Linked DNA regions of Anolis sagrei. The protein of the gene in region 2 binds, or shares a complex with, the protein of the main gene of each other region. Links are inferred from orthologs where the notes say so. Each region holds a gene or a part of one and is shown on either strand. Other genes may lie near its edges.

What was found. Proteins that work in one complex are often made in the same cells at the same time.
Region 1: the proteins of ACVR2B (region 2) and GDF2 are in contact, whole or in part, in a crystal structure (PDB 4FAO), measured with the Homo sapiens proteins. The link is inferred for Anolis sagrei from reciprocal best matches to the Homo sapiens genes ACVR2B and GDF2. Residues at the interface, in NP_001097.2 of Homo sapiens: Asn35, Glu39, Cys49, Glu50, Glu52, Lys55, Leu57, Tyr60, Ser62, Arg64, Val73, Lys74, Cys77, Trp78, Leu79, Asp81, Phe82, Asn83, Glu94, Gln98, Val99, Phe101; in NP_057288.1 of Homo sapiens: Arg333, Ile346, Ala347, Pro348, Lys349, Glu350, Tyr351, Glu352, Lys397, Ser399, Pro400, Ile401, Ser402, Val403, Leu404, Lys406, Gly410, Val411, Pro412, Thr413, Leu414, Tyr416, His417.

What each region holds. Positions count from the first base shown.
Region 1 is NC_090023.1:142,237,121-142,244,496, forward strand, and holds the start of GDF2 (growth/differentiation factor 2), read right to left. Parts: upstream 3,090-7,376; 5' UTR 2,936-3,089; coding exon 2,599-2,935; intron 1-2,598. UniProt on the Homo sapiens protein: Potent circulating inhibitor of angiogenesis. Signals through the type I activin receptor ACVRL1 but not other Alks. Signaling through SMAD1 in endothelial cells requires TGF-beta coreceptor endoglin/ENG.
Region 2 is NC_090026.1:122,946,211-122,954,093, reverse strand, and holds the start of ACVR2B (activin receptor type-2B), read right to left. Parts: upstream 3,012-7,883; 5' UTR 2,242-3,011; coding exon 2,190-2,241; intron 1-2,189. UniProt on the Homo sapiens protein: Transmembrane serine/threonine kinase activin type-2 receptor forming an activin receptor complex with activin type-1 serine/threonine kinase receptors (ACVR1, ACVR1B or ACVR1c).

The DNA of each region.
Region 1 (7,376 bases), on a different chromosome or scaffold from region 2:
AGGATGCATTGTAGACACCCACCTCTGCTGAAGCACAATAAAAATCCCAAAGTGAGACTTAGGGCCCTTCTACACTTACTTAAAACCTGGGAGGAAGCAGGTTAAAATAAAATATTTTGAGAAGACATGATCCACAAGAAGAGACAATAATGCTTGATAAAGGGGAGGGCAGTACAAAAAGAGATAGTCTCTCAGATGAGTAGACTTCACCAAGGAAGTCACAATGTTATTGAGAAATTTATTAAACACAAATGAACAGAGATGAATTAAACATGAATTTATTTTATTTTTTATTTTACCAATTTTGCAATTCCAAAATGCCTCTCCACCTCAACTCTGGAAAAGTCCAGGCAGCTATATCTCCTCTTGTGTATGAAATCAACTTTTATGAAATTGTATGACTTATATCAAATGAAATCAACCCTTAAAGTATATCTGGAACTGCAAATCTATATAAAAAGACTTAATTAATCTCAGTCCTTGGGACAGGAAGTGGGCTAAACGGGTAATGTATGCAAGCCTGGAGTACCCAAGTCTCACTGATGGGATATATTGTGCTTATGTAAAATGCAACCCCCTTTCATTGTCAACAATTAAATGAGTTCCTCCAGAACTGCAAGCACTATCTCAAGCAAATTTCGACAATTTATTCACACTGTCATTACTTGCAGCAATACCCAATATAGTGGAAGCAACCAATTTCCTCAGGATGCCCCTGGAAGAGTCAGCACATGCAATGACCCCTGCCAAAAGATGTGTGATGGTGATAGCGGACCAGAAACAGTGGTTTGCAGATGTGACAGGATGACCCAAGAGTGTGCTGTCTTCCTAGATAAAAAATCCAAGATGTAACCAAAAGGATGATAAGGCTTGTAAAGCCTACAGACCATTACTCCTTCCTTTTGGTTCATGTGGGAACCAATGACACTACAAGAAATAGCCTTTGAGAGATCACATGGGATTATGAGGCCATAGGAAGTAAGTTGGATGGGCCTTGAATCCCAGTTCATCTTCCTCCCACTTTAAGGAAACAACCCAGGAAGGGAAAGGATAATAGACGTGAATAACCTTATCCTCAGATGATGGAACTGTTTGGCTTCTGAGTCCATGGTCTATGGTTTACTTGCATTGAGCTTCTGTCAAGGAATGGCTTGTGCCTCAGAGAGATTAGCAGGAAGATTTTTGTGAAGAAATACACAAACCTGACCAGGAGGGCTTTAAACGCTGCTATCTGAGGGAGACTGCTAACTGGGACTGTCTACAGGCAGTGTACAACTCCACTGTTACAACAGGTCTTATGGCTGCTAATACATTCAAATTGCAGGTTTTGACCTATAAAGCCTTATATGTCTTAGGTTATCTGAAGGACTGTATCTCTTTCTATGAACCTCTGAGGCATCTACAATCAACACGCGACAACCTTCTCTCTGTACCATCACCTGCTCAAGTGTGTTTGGTGGGAACACAGGAGAGGGCCTTTTCGGTGGCTGCTTTTATACTGTGGAACCCCCTCCCAAGAGAGACCAAGATAGCTCTGTCCCTGCTTGCCTTCCTCAAGACTTCCTGGCCTTTCTCTGTCAGCAGGCATACTTGCTAAATCCATAATATTGCTAAATCCATAATATTTTGATTGTTCTGCCATCTAATTTTGATTTATTCCACTTCTTCCTAGATTGTGATTAATACTGATATTATTAAGGTATATTCATAGAATCATGGAAGAGACCTCGTGGGCCATCCAGAGCAACCCCCTGCCAAGAAGCAGGAAAATCATATTCAAAGCACCCCTGACAGATGGCCATCCAGCCTCTGTTTAAAAGCCTCCAAAGGAGGAGCCTCCACCACACTCTGGGGCAGAGAGTTCCACTGCTGAACAGCTCTCACAATCAGGAAGTTTTTCCTAATGTTCAAGTGGAATTCCCTTGGAGTTTTTTTTTTAAGTATTCCTATTCACATAGGTGAAGCAATGAAAATATTTCTAGTTGCCTCCTGTGGTTTGCAAAAGAGAATTACCAATAGCTAAGAGTACTTTCTTGATAAGTTGTACTAATTATGAACTTTTTGATGCATCTCAATTTGGTCACTGCTGAAAGTATAACTCTTTGGTTTGGAGGTGGGATCATTGTTATCTGCCATAAAGCTCAGAAAGGTTGGCCTTCATTCCTATTCTATTCTATGGCCACTGAGGCAGAACTTTTCTCACATTTCCCTTTGTAACATCTGAAAATTACATTGATTCCTTTTATGTCATTTAATATGGACTAGACATTTTCCTAATATGTGGAGATTGTTCCAGTCTGAGAAAATGGTTTTTACACAGATTTTTTTTCTTTTCTATTAATTTCTTTCTATCTAAATGAGCTGGAGGAGAAATAAGGTCAAAAATATTATTTTCCTTAGTTTCATGCATCCAACTCCTTAAGATTTTTTAAATGGCTATTTCACAAATAATATAAGAAAACAGATGACACAAAATTGTTAGTAGAGCATTTAAAAAAAACAATTAAGATTTCCTGGGAACACAAGGCACTAAGATGCCTGGGGAAGATCTTAGCCTAGATGTTTGGGTTGAGGGTGGGGGAAAGCCAAAACTCCTACCTTCAGGACTGAAGCTGCGCACAATATTGGATATGGGGCTGGTAGACTTGTCCTTGCTATATCTATTATACAAATCAATCATGAATTGTGGTGGTTCCTCTTTCATCTTCTCTTCTGAAGGTACTTCTGACAAGTTCAAGTTCCTCAGGAAATCAGCTTTCAAAGTCTCCAGAAACGATTTAAAGTCAAATTGGGCTTCTCCCTCCACGCTCCCAATGTCACCAGAATATTCATGGGAGTTTGGGGTTGTAAGTAATCTGTCCCGGGCTTCCATGGGTTTCCCACTTGTCAAAGGTATCATGATGTTTAGAAGAGTGAAGGCCCCGAAATAATACATTTTTCATGAATCCTGTTTTAAACGAGGGTATAATACAGTAAGGATCCAGGGGAGCAGGCTGACTGAAGTCTGAAATGCAAACACAGAATGCCAATGGCTGACCACTTTCTCAAGCTGCATTGCAGCCGTGTTTTTTCCAGTGCTAGCCCCTTGTGAATCATCAAGCAGATTGGCCATACACTTGCCCTTATCTTGACCACAGTCTCTTATCTATCCGCGCTCTTCACTAATGAATATTCTGTAAACATAAGACAAGTACATATGGTCGGTAGAAGCACATAGCACCCAGAAAAGAATCCATGTTCCTCTTTGCGGTCACCATTGCCTAATTATGTTCCTTTATCATTTTCTTGCCAGCAAACAATATTCATTTTAAGATGTCTGGGGGAAGGCATTAGGACGAAGTTTCCTCTTGTTTCCCACAGCATACAGAATTAAGATAAAAAGAAAGAAATAATACCTGTTCTAAAATATCTTGACATACCATTCAAAAAGTCACATATGTAGGAGCTTTATTGTGGCAAGAAATAATCCCATTATTGTTAAATAAACGTTTAAATATTTTCATTTCTCAGTCAAGTGACTTGCTGTTGTTTGTGGGGGGGGAGGGGAGTCTGATCGGGTTGCTATGAGTTGCAACCCAATCAGGTTGCTGATCGGGTTGCTGATTGGGTTGCTTCTGGAACATGGCTCTATGGCCATGTTCCAGAAGCATTCTCTCCTGAAAATTTTCCCACATCTATATATATAAATTTGTTAGGGGCATCCAACGAGGAAACAAAACTCAAAAACCCCCCAACGAAACTTAACCAAAATTCCCATGCCCATAACACAACCCACAAGGTACAAACATATCTACTCAAAATGAAAAACAACACAACAACACACTCACAAAACGGCAAAACAACAAAACTCAAAAAAACCCCAACGAAACTTAACCAAAATCCCCGTGCCCATAACACAACCCACAAGGTACAAACATATCTACTCAAAATGAAAAACAACACAACAACACACTCACAAAACGGCAAAACAACAAAACTCAAAAATCCCCCAATAAAACTTAACCAAAATCCCCGTGCCCATAACCCAACCCACAAGGTACAAACATACCTACTCAAAATGAAAAACAACACAACAACACACTCACAAAACGGCAAAACAACAAAACTCAAAAATCCCCCAACGAAACTTAACCAAAATCCCCGTGCCCATAACACAACCCACAAGGTACAAACATATCTACTCAAAATGAAAAACACACACTCACAAAACAGCAAAACAACAAAACTCAAAAATCCCCCAACGAAACTTAACCAAAATTCCCGTGCCCATAACACACCCCACAAGGTACAAACATATCTACTCAAAATGAAAAACAACACAACAACACACTCACAAAACGGCAAAACAACTGAGCATGCGCATTGGCGCCCAGCCACAAGTTCCCTGGCGCGCGCACATGGCCTTCCGGCCAACGTTCCCTCTGCGGAAACCATTCCCACTCCAAGCCCCGCCGTGCCGCTTCCCGCACACACACACACCCTGCCGCACACACACACGCAACCCCACGCTCCATCACTCCCCCCGCCGCCGCATACACACACGCAACCCAACTCCCCCCGTCGCCACACACACACACACGCAACCCCACGCTCCATCACTCCCCCCACCGCCGCACACACACACAACCCCACGCTCCATCACTTCCCCCGCTGCCGCACACACACACGCAACCCCACGCTCCATCACTCCCCTGCCCCAATCTTACCGCCTTTTACTTCACGCCACCTCCAAACCCCACCCCGCCCCTTCCCGCCCTGTCAAAATCTAGGAAAGACAGGAAGGAAGGAAAGAAGGAAGAAAGAGAAAGGGAGGTAAACAAAAAGGGGGAAGGAAGGAAAGTTAGAGGAAGAAGAAAAGGAAAGAAAAGGAAAGATGGAAGGAAAGAAAAGAGAGACAGCAGAAGAGAAAGAAAAAGGGGGAACTAAGGAAAGAGATAGAGAAAGAAGAGGAGAAGGAAAGATGGGAAGGAAGGAAGGAAGGAAGGAAGGAGGGAGGGAGGGAGGGAGGGAGGGAGGGAGGGAAAGAAGGAGAGAAGGAGGGAAGATTGGCCACAGCAACACGTGGCGGGTAAAGGTTGTTATTTCTATTATTATTATTATGCTATTGTTCCTATGAGACCCTTTTAGGGGGAATGATGGGAGAGGTGTCAGGTCCCGGAGGCAATGCATTGCATTATTGTTATTGTTATGATGGTGGTGAAATAAAAGGAAATAAAAAGTGAAAGAAGGAAGCAAACAGGGAGGGAAGAAAGGCAAAGGAAGAAAGGGGGAAGGAATGAAGGAAAGAGAGAAGGATGAAACCAAGTAGTGAAAGAAGGAAAGAAAGAAAGAGGTAGAGAAGGAAGAAAGGAGAGAAAGGGGGAGGAAAAGGGGGAAGGAATAGGTAGGGACCTCTCTTTCATAATAGTCCAGATATCTACCTCAACTTTGATAAGTTTTACTATAGGCCACAGCAACGCGTGGCAGGGCACAGCTAGTTATTTTTAAAATTTTAACTATTACGTCTGGCCCGGCCATAGGTTTTTAAATCTTTTTGTATTATTGTCTATATGTGAGTTATATTAATTGTATTGTTTATTTGCTTATTGCTTGTTATTTTTACTGATGTGTTGTTGGGCTTGGCCTCATGTAAGCCACTCCAAGTCCCTTGGGGAGATGGTGGCGGGGTATAAATAAAGTATTATTATTATTATTATTATTATTATTATTATTATTATCTATGGTAGGCATCCTCAGAGTTTGTGAGGTCTGTTGGAAACTAGGCAAGTGAGGTTTATGTATCTATGAATCTTCCTGATTTCATATGATACAAGCCACCCTTACTTTGGAGATCTTTTTTAGCTCTATATAACAAACAACATTATTATGGATGCCTGTTTGTATGTGTGTATCAGCTTCATTTGTATGCCTTTGTATGTCTTCTCCCAGAATAAATTTTAAAACTATTTAAATCACTACATAAAACAATAAAATAATGTAAAAAAACATACAAAGTTTAAAAAGACAAATAAAAGCTCTTACTAAAAAAAAACTTCCTGGCTTATATATTTCAAATCTGCTTAAACGAAAAGGCCTTTGCCTGCTGGGAAAAGAAAAACAATGAAAGGGCAAACCTAGCTTCCTGCAGAAGATGGCAGCAGCCACTGAGAAGACTATTTTGTCCTCACCAAGCGAGTGTGCAATGTTGGGAGACTGAGCGCAAACCTTCGTCAGAACCATAGTAGACTTGTGTGAGGAGACATATTTTTTTCACTAGTCTTGATCTAAGCCACAGAGGATTTTATAGGTCTTGATCAACACTATGAATTGGGCCCAGAAATGAACTGATGACCAGTGCAACTGTTTTAACAAGGGAATTATATGCTCCGTATAACTGACCACAGCCATCATTCTGGCAGCAATACTTTGGACCTGCTGAAGTTTCTGAACAGTTTTCAAAGACAACCCATGTGGAGCACATTATATTGCTCCAAAGAGAATACAATCCAGGCACGTGTCACTGTAGCCAGCTCTGATGTCTTAAGGAGTAGGCATCACTGGCACATTAGTTTTAGCCAGGGGCGGCTCAACCCATTACGCAAAGTAAGCATTTGCAGTATAGTTGATTTTGCCCAGGGGCGCTCATGAGGCGCTCTTGAGGGGGGAAAAAAGCCTTGACATATGCAAGTTGTAGTTACTGGGATGTATAGTTCACCTACAATCAAAGAGCATTCTGAACTCCACCAATGATGGAATTGAACCAAATATGGCACACATAACTCCCACCACGAACAGAAAATATATATCAGTGATTGGTTTTGGGGGGGGGGGGGCAAAATACTGTTTGCTTACCGTTGAAAATTATCTAGGGCCGCCTCTGGTTTTAGTTGTGCAAATGCACTCCTGAGCACTTCTGAAACTTTGAATGCTAAAAACACTTTGTCTAACATGTTGTTGTTCATTCGTTCAGTCGTCTCCGACTCTTCGTGACTTCATGGACCAGTCCACGCCAGAGCTCCCTGTCGGCCGTCACCATCCCCAGCTCCCTCAAGGTCAGTCCAGTCACTTCAAGGATGCCATCCATCCATCTTGCCCTTGGTCGGCCCCTCTTCCTTTTGCCTTCCACTTTCCCCAGCATAATTGTCTTCTCTAGGCTTTCCTGTCTCCTCATGATGTGGCCAAAGTACTTCAACTTTGTCTCTAGTATCTTTCCCTCCAGTGAGCAGTTTGTCTAACATAATTATTAGTAAAGTTAGCTTTAATTTTAACTATATCATACCATAGGTACCACTGCATCCATATTCTCAGATTTTGATAGCCTTGTTTCCTGAACTGACATATGCCTGTACATAGAATAATAGAATAATAGAGTTGGAAGAGACCACATGGGTAATCTA
Region 2 (7,883 bases):
AGGAACAATCCACAATAAGAACAATCCCTTTCCTTTAGATATAGATAGATGATTATTATGCATGTAGCCTTTCCTAAAGGGAGAATTATGCACACCAACACCAGGAAGATCTCTCCCTCTTTCTCTCTCTTCCTTCTTTCTCTCCTTTTCTTTCCTTCCTTTCCCCCTCTTTTCCATTACTTTCTTGTACACAAATTCCCCCAAAGGAACCTTCCAACCAAACAAGGCTCTCCTTCCCAAAAAAAACCCAAGAAGGAACAACTCACAATAACAATAAGAACAACAACAATCCCTTTCCTTTAGATATAGATAGATAATTATTATTCAAGTAACCTTTCTTAAAAGGGGGGAATTATGCACCACAACACCAGGAAGATCTCTACCTCTTTCTTTCTCTTCCTTCTTTCCTTTTCTTTCTCTCTTTCCCTTCTTTCCTCTTTCTTTCTTTCTATTCTTCTGCTTTTCCATTACTTACTTATACACAGAGTCCTCCAAAGGAACTTTCCAACCAAACAAGAAGGAACAACCCACAACAACAACAATCTCTTTTCCTATAGATTTAGATACATAGATAGATAGATATTATTCAAGTAGCCTTTCCTAAAGGGGGAATTATATACCACAACACCAGGAAGATCTCTCCCTCTTTCTCTCTTTCCCTTCTTTCCTCTTCCTTCCTCCCTTTCCCCCTCTTTTCCATTACTTACTTTGTATACAAGTCCCCTCAAAGGAACTTTCCAACCAAACAAGGCTCTCCTTCCAGAAAACAAGAAGGAACAACCCACAACAACAACAACAACAACAACCCCTTTTCCTATAGATTTAGATACATAGATAGATCATTATTATTCAAGTAACCTTTCCTAAAGGGGGAATTATACACCACAACACCAGGAAGATCTCTCTTTCTTTCTCTCTTTCCCTTCTTTCCTTCCTTCTCCCCTCTTTTCCATTACTTACTTGTATACAAAGTCCCCCAAAATGAACTTTCCAACCAAACAAGGCTCTCCTTCCAAGAAAACCCAAGGAACAACCCACAATAACAACAAGCCCTTTCCTTTAGTTATACAGATATATTATTATTATTATTATTATTATTCAAGTAACCTTTCCTAAAGGGGGAATTGTGCATCACAACACCAGGAAGGTCTCTCCCTCTTTCTTTCTCTCCCTTCTTTCTCTCCTTTTCTTCCTTCCTTCCTTTCCCCTTCTTTTCCATTACTTACTTGTATACAACGTCCCCCAAAAGGAACTTTCCAACCAAACAAGGCTCTCCTTCCAGAAAACAAGAAGGAACAACCCACAACAACAACAACAACAACAACCCCTTTTCCTATAGATTTAGATACATAGATAGATCATTATTATTCAAGTAACCTTTCCTAAAGGGGGAATTATACACCACAACACCAGGAAGATCTCTCTTTCTTTCTCTCTTTCCCTTCTTTCCTTCCTTCTCCCCTCTTTTCCATTACTTACTTGTATACAAAGTCCCCCAAAATGAACTTTCCAACCAAACAAGGCTCTCCTTCCAAGAAAACCCAAGGAACAACCCACAATAACAACAAGCCCTTTCCTTTAGTTATACAGATATATTATTATTATTATTATTATTATTATTATTATTATTCAAGTAACCTTTCCTAAAGGGGGAATTGTGCATCACAACACCAGGAAGGTCTCTCCCTCTTTCTTTCTCTCCCTTCTTTCTCTCCTTTTCTTCCTTCCTTCCTTTCCCCTTCTTTTCCATTACTTACTTGTATACAACGTCCCCCAAAAGGAACTTTCCAACCAAACAAGGCTCTCCTTCCAGAAAACAAGAAGGAACAACACACAACAACAACAAGATCTCTCCCTCTTTCTTTCTCTCTTTCCCTTCTTTCCCATTACTTACTTGCATACAAAATCCCCCAAAAGGAACTTTCCAACCAAACAAGGCTCTCCTTCCAAGAAGGAACAACCCACAATAACAACAACAAGCCCTTTTCTTTAGATATTATTATTATTATTGTTGTTGTTGTTATTATTATTATCCAAGTAGCCTTTCCCAAAAGGGGAATTATACACCACAACACCAGGAAGACCTCTCCCTCCCTCTTTCTTTCTTTCTTTCTCATCCCTCTTTCTTTTCTTTTCTCTCCTTCCCTTTCTTTTCTCTCTTTCTTTTCCCCTGCTTTCCCATGACTTACTTGTACACAAAGTCCCCCAAAGGAAGGCGAAAGTGAGCCACGGCACCCTCATATTCCTTTTTCTCCTCGTGGTGCTTGTTTACTCCGCTTTCAAGGGGAGGAGGAGGAGGAGGAGGAGAAGGCAAGCAAACTCTCCAAGAACGGCAAGATCCTCTTCCAAACAGATACAGAGTTATCAATATATGTGTCAGGGGAAAAATATCCAAAGGTTCCCTTTCAATAACAATAGTATCTTTGAGACTAAATCCTTTCCCGGCTGCGTCCAGGTCCAAGAAGGGGAGAGAAGAGTCTTTTTAAATCCTCAAAAAGGGGGGGAAAGAATAGTCCAACCCGAGCGTGAGAGCCTGGACTCTTTTGCTTTTTTCCTTCCTTCCTTTTGGAGGTAAAGAGAGGAATCCTTCCAAGGATGGGGATGGGGAATCAACGCAGTAAATCCGGCCGCAAGGAAGAAGAAGAAGAGAAGGAGGAGAAGGCAATGGAGAAGCAAACTTTGCAGAAAGGGGGATCCAGGGCTGAAGCAAGGCGACGAAAAGGAGGAGATTGAGGAGGAGACCCGGCGCCGCTGCCGTCCGCTCCAATGGTGGTTCTGAACAGAGCCAAAGGCGAGGAGGGAAGCGCCAAGCCGGTGCCTCTGCTGCTCCTGCTCTTGCTCCTGCTGCTGCTGCTGCTATTGTGGCTCCTGTTCCTTCTGGAGAGGAGGGCGAGGAAGAAGAGGAGGAGGAGGAAGAAGGAGAAGAAGGCTGCCGGTCCGCTCAGAGGCATCGCTCGCTTGGCTTTGGCGCTCGGGGGGCGAAAGGGGGGCGCGCGGCTGGGAGAAGGAGGAGGGGGAGACGCGGGAGCGCGCGCGGGGGGGGAAAGGGGGACGCGCACGCGCACAGGCTCAGCCCCGCGCCCCTCCTCCGGGATCCCCCTCCCTCCCTCCTTCCCTTCGCGTGCACGCGCGCGCGCTCCCAGGCTGAGGTTGCTCCTTCTTCCTCCTCCTCCTCCTCTTGTTTTCCCCTCCCCTTGAAAGGAAGGAGGGAATGTTTACATAGTATCTCTCTCTCTCCCTCTCTGTGTATATATGTGTGTGTGTGTGTATATATATATATACATATACATATATACATACATACACACACACACACACTATCTGTATCTATTTATATAGATAAATATATATAAAATATATAAATATAAAAACTCTAAAATTACAACAGCACAACAACAGAGAGGAAACAAGCAAGGACATTAACCACCTCTCAACAAAAGTTTGCTGTGTGTGTGTGTGTGTATATATATATATATATATATACACACACACACACACTATCTGTATCTATTTATGTAGATAAATATATATAAAATATATAAATATAAAAACTCTAAAATTACAACAGCACAACAACAGAGAAGAAACAAACAAGGACATCTAACCACCTCTCAACAAAAGTTTGCTGTGTGTGTGTGTATATATATACACACACACACACACACACTATCTGCATCTATTCATATAGATAAATATATATATAATATATAAATATAAAAACTCTAAAATTACAACAGCGCAACAACAGAGAGGAAACAAACAAGGACATCTAACCACCTCTCAACAAAAGTTTGCTCTGTGTGTGTGTATATATATATATATATATACACACACACACTATCTGTATCTATTTATGTAGATAAATATATATAAAATATATAAATATAAAAACTCTAAAATTACAACAGCACAACAACAGAGAGGAAACAAGCAAGGACATCTAATCACCTCTCAACAAAAGTTTGCTGCATGTGTGTGTATAGATATATATACACACACACACTATCTGTATCTATTTATATAGATAAATATATATATATAATATATAAATATAAAAACTCTAAGATTACAACAGCACAACAACAGAGAGGAAACAAACAAGGACATCTAATCACCTCTCAACAAAAGTTTGCACCAGGCACTGTCAGGCTGTTATATGCTAATCAAGGTGGTCAGTTGAAACATTCACACCTAGCTCCAGCAGACAAGAGTCCTTTGTCCCACCCTAGTCATTCCACAGATATATAAACCCATTTTCCTAGTTCCAACAGACTTTACTATCTCTGAGGATGCTTGCCATAGATGCAGGCGAAACGTCAGGGGAGAATGCCTCTAGACCATGGCCATATAGCCCGAAAAAACCTACAACAACCCACAAATAGGGCTGATATATATATAAATAGATAGATAGATAGATAGATAGATAGACAGATAGATCTCCACACACACATATTATATATTTGTATACAGACATTTATATACACATATTGATCCACACAGGACCTTTATATATATATATATATATATATATATATATATATATATATATATATATAAAAGGTCCTGTGTGGATCAATATGTGTATATAAATGTCTGTATACAAATATATAATATGTATATATATATGCGTGTGTGTGTGTATACACACGTACACTTGAATAGGTATATATATATATATAATATATATATATATATATGCATGTGTGTGTGTCTACACGTACACTTGAATAGGTATACAGGCGCACGCACACATGCACACATACACACACACATATACCGACACACACAAACAGGACCTATATATGCACACATACATACACACACACACAAACAGGGCCAATATATATATAGATAAATCTCCACACACATATTATATATTTGTATACAGACATTTATATACACATATTAATCTACACTGGACCTTGATTTTTTTTTTATATATATATATATATACACACACACACACTCAAAAAGGACCTATTAGGAGTGTGTGTATGTGTATATATATATATATATATATTAGGGCTGGGCGGTTTCGTTTCGTTAATTCGTAATTCGTTAATAATTCGTTAATTTTTTCAATTACAAAACGATAACGAACCATTCTGGAGCAATTATTAAAAAAAACGAATTTTCAAAAACGTTTTGTAAATGCTTCGTATTTCGATATTGTATTCGTTTCGTTATTGTTTTGAGGTCGTTTCGTTATTATTTCCGCATGTCTGGGCCAGTTTTATGGTTTAATTAGTGAAAAAAAATTATAATATCACACCAACAGTCAACAACAGAGGGAGAGGGAAGCTTCAGAAGGTTTTGGAGGTTTTTTAGCGTATTTCGCGGTCGCGTCCGCCATTAATGAATTGATTCGTTATTGTTTCGGAAATCGATTCGTTAATTTTTTACCATTTACGAAATTTCGTAAATATCGAACTTTTTAAAAGGAAAATTTTGTAATTATTTTAAATATCGAAACAAAAAAAAACCCCCAAATACAAATCGATTTTAGAAACAAATTTTTCCGTTGTTACCCAGGCCTAATATATATATATATATATATACACACACACACACACACATACACACATATATAGTATATGTGTGTGTGTATATATATATATATATACACACACACATATACATACACATACAAGCACATAAATGCATACACACACAGCACACACAAGGATGCTAATATATATGTGTATATATATAATATAATATATAGATAGATACACACACACACACGAAAAGGACCTCAATATCTATCTCTCTATATATATATATTACACACACCCATTACATATCTCACCAGAATTACTATGAGCTGTTAAATAGTGTATTTAATATTTAATATTTTTTTATAATAATAATATATTTTGGGGAACCCTCTTCTCTATTACTGGACTGTTTCATCCTGTGAAGGGTGTATACATATCCCATAGGAGAAATTGTAATAATAATAATAATAAATACAGAATTATAAGCTATATTTTAGGGAAGATTAGAAAAATAAAAGAAACAAAATTCAGGGTGTAAACTTTGGTAGAAACCCTATATGTATCTCTGTAGGTTTATATATTTATGTGCGTCTATATATATATATTAACACACATATACCTCTCAGTGGGAAAGACCCGGATGTTTGATACAAAGAAAAAGGGGCGGAGTCTCAGAAAGGGGCGGGGTGGTAATAAAGGTTCTGAAGAGGCCGCTGCGTTAGGATTGGCCGGAGGCGCCTGCTCGTCAAGGCGCACGAGGGGGCGGGGCTTGGGTGGAACGCGCGAGGCGCAGAGGGAAGCCAGTCCGAGGGGAGGGGGAGAGAGCGGGAGGCGAGTGCGCGCATGCGCGGCCCCGGATTGTTGTTCTCCCGCGTGCTCCTCTTGCAGGGTCTCCTTCCTTCTGTATAAGGTTCTGCTCCTGAAGTCCCAGCTAGACTAAGAATTGATTGCATCTACACTAAAGCAAATTGTTAGGAATTGTGGGAGTTGAAGTCCAAAACACCTGGAGGGCCCAAGATTGCCCATGCCTGGTCTAAACATCCACTTAGGTAGATCTATAAACAGAAAGATACAGATAGATATGTAGAGGTGATTAGCAAACAACTAATTTTGGCATCTTGCAATTGCTAAAGATGAAATTGAGTGGGTTGCTGCAAGTTTTTTGGGCTGCCTGGCCATGTTCCGGAAGCATTCTCTTCTGACATTTTGCCCACATCTATGGCAGGCATCCTAAGAGGTTGTGGGATCATAGAATCAAAGAGTTGGAAAAGACCTCATGGGCCATCCAGTCCAACCCCCTGCCAAGAAGCAGGAATATTACATTCAAATCATCCCTGACAGATGGCCATCCAGCCTCTGTTTAAAAGCTTCCAAAGAAGGAGCCTCCACCACACTCCGGAGCAGAGAGTTCCACTGCTGAACGGCTCTCACAGTCAGGAAGTTCTTCCTCATGTTCAGATGGAATCTCCTCTCTTGTAGTTTGAAGCCATTGTTCCATTGCGTCCTAGTCTCCAAGGAAGCAGAAAACAAGCTTGCTCCCTCCTCCCTGTGGCTTCCTCTCACATATTTATACATGGCTATCATATCCCCTCTCAGCCTTCTCTTCTTCAGGTTAAACATGCCCAGCTCCTTAAGCCGCTCCTCATAGGGCTTGTTCTCCAGACCTTTTATCATTTTAGTCGCCCTCCTCTGGACACATTCCAGCTTGTCAATATCTCTCTTGAATTGTTGTGCCCAGAATTGGACACAATATTCCAGGTGTGATCTAACCAAAGCAGAATAGAATATGTTGGAAACTAGTAAAATTGGGTTTATATATCTGTGGAATAATGTCCAGGGTGGGAGAAAGATCTCTTTGTCTCCTTGAGGCAAGTGTGAGTGTTGCAATTGGAACAAGGCAGGAAACAATCAGGGCCAGCTAACACCCTGATTGTTCAACGTATTGTCGAAGGCTTTCATGGCTGGAATCACTGGATTGTACTACCTTGATTAGCATTGAATTGCCTTGCAGCTTCAAACCCTGGGTGCTTGCTGCCTGTGAGAATCCTTCGTTGAGAAGTGATTAGTTGTCACTAATTGTTTCTGGTTTTGTTCCAGTTGCAACATTCAAGCAGGGAAGAGTTCTTTCTCCCACCCCTGTCTTTATTTACTGTTATGATGATTAGACAGGAAACAATTAGGGTGGGTTGTTGTAGGTTTTTGGGGGCTATGTGGCCATGTTCTCGAGGCATTCTCTCCTGACGTTTCGCCTGCATCTATGGCAAGCATCCTTAGAGGTAGTGAGGTAGTGACATAGATGCAGGCGAAACGTCCTGAGAGAATGCTTCGAGAACATGGCCATATAGCCTGAAAAAACCTACAACAACCCACCCTGATTGTTTCCTG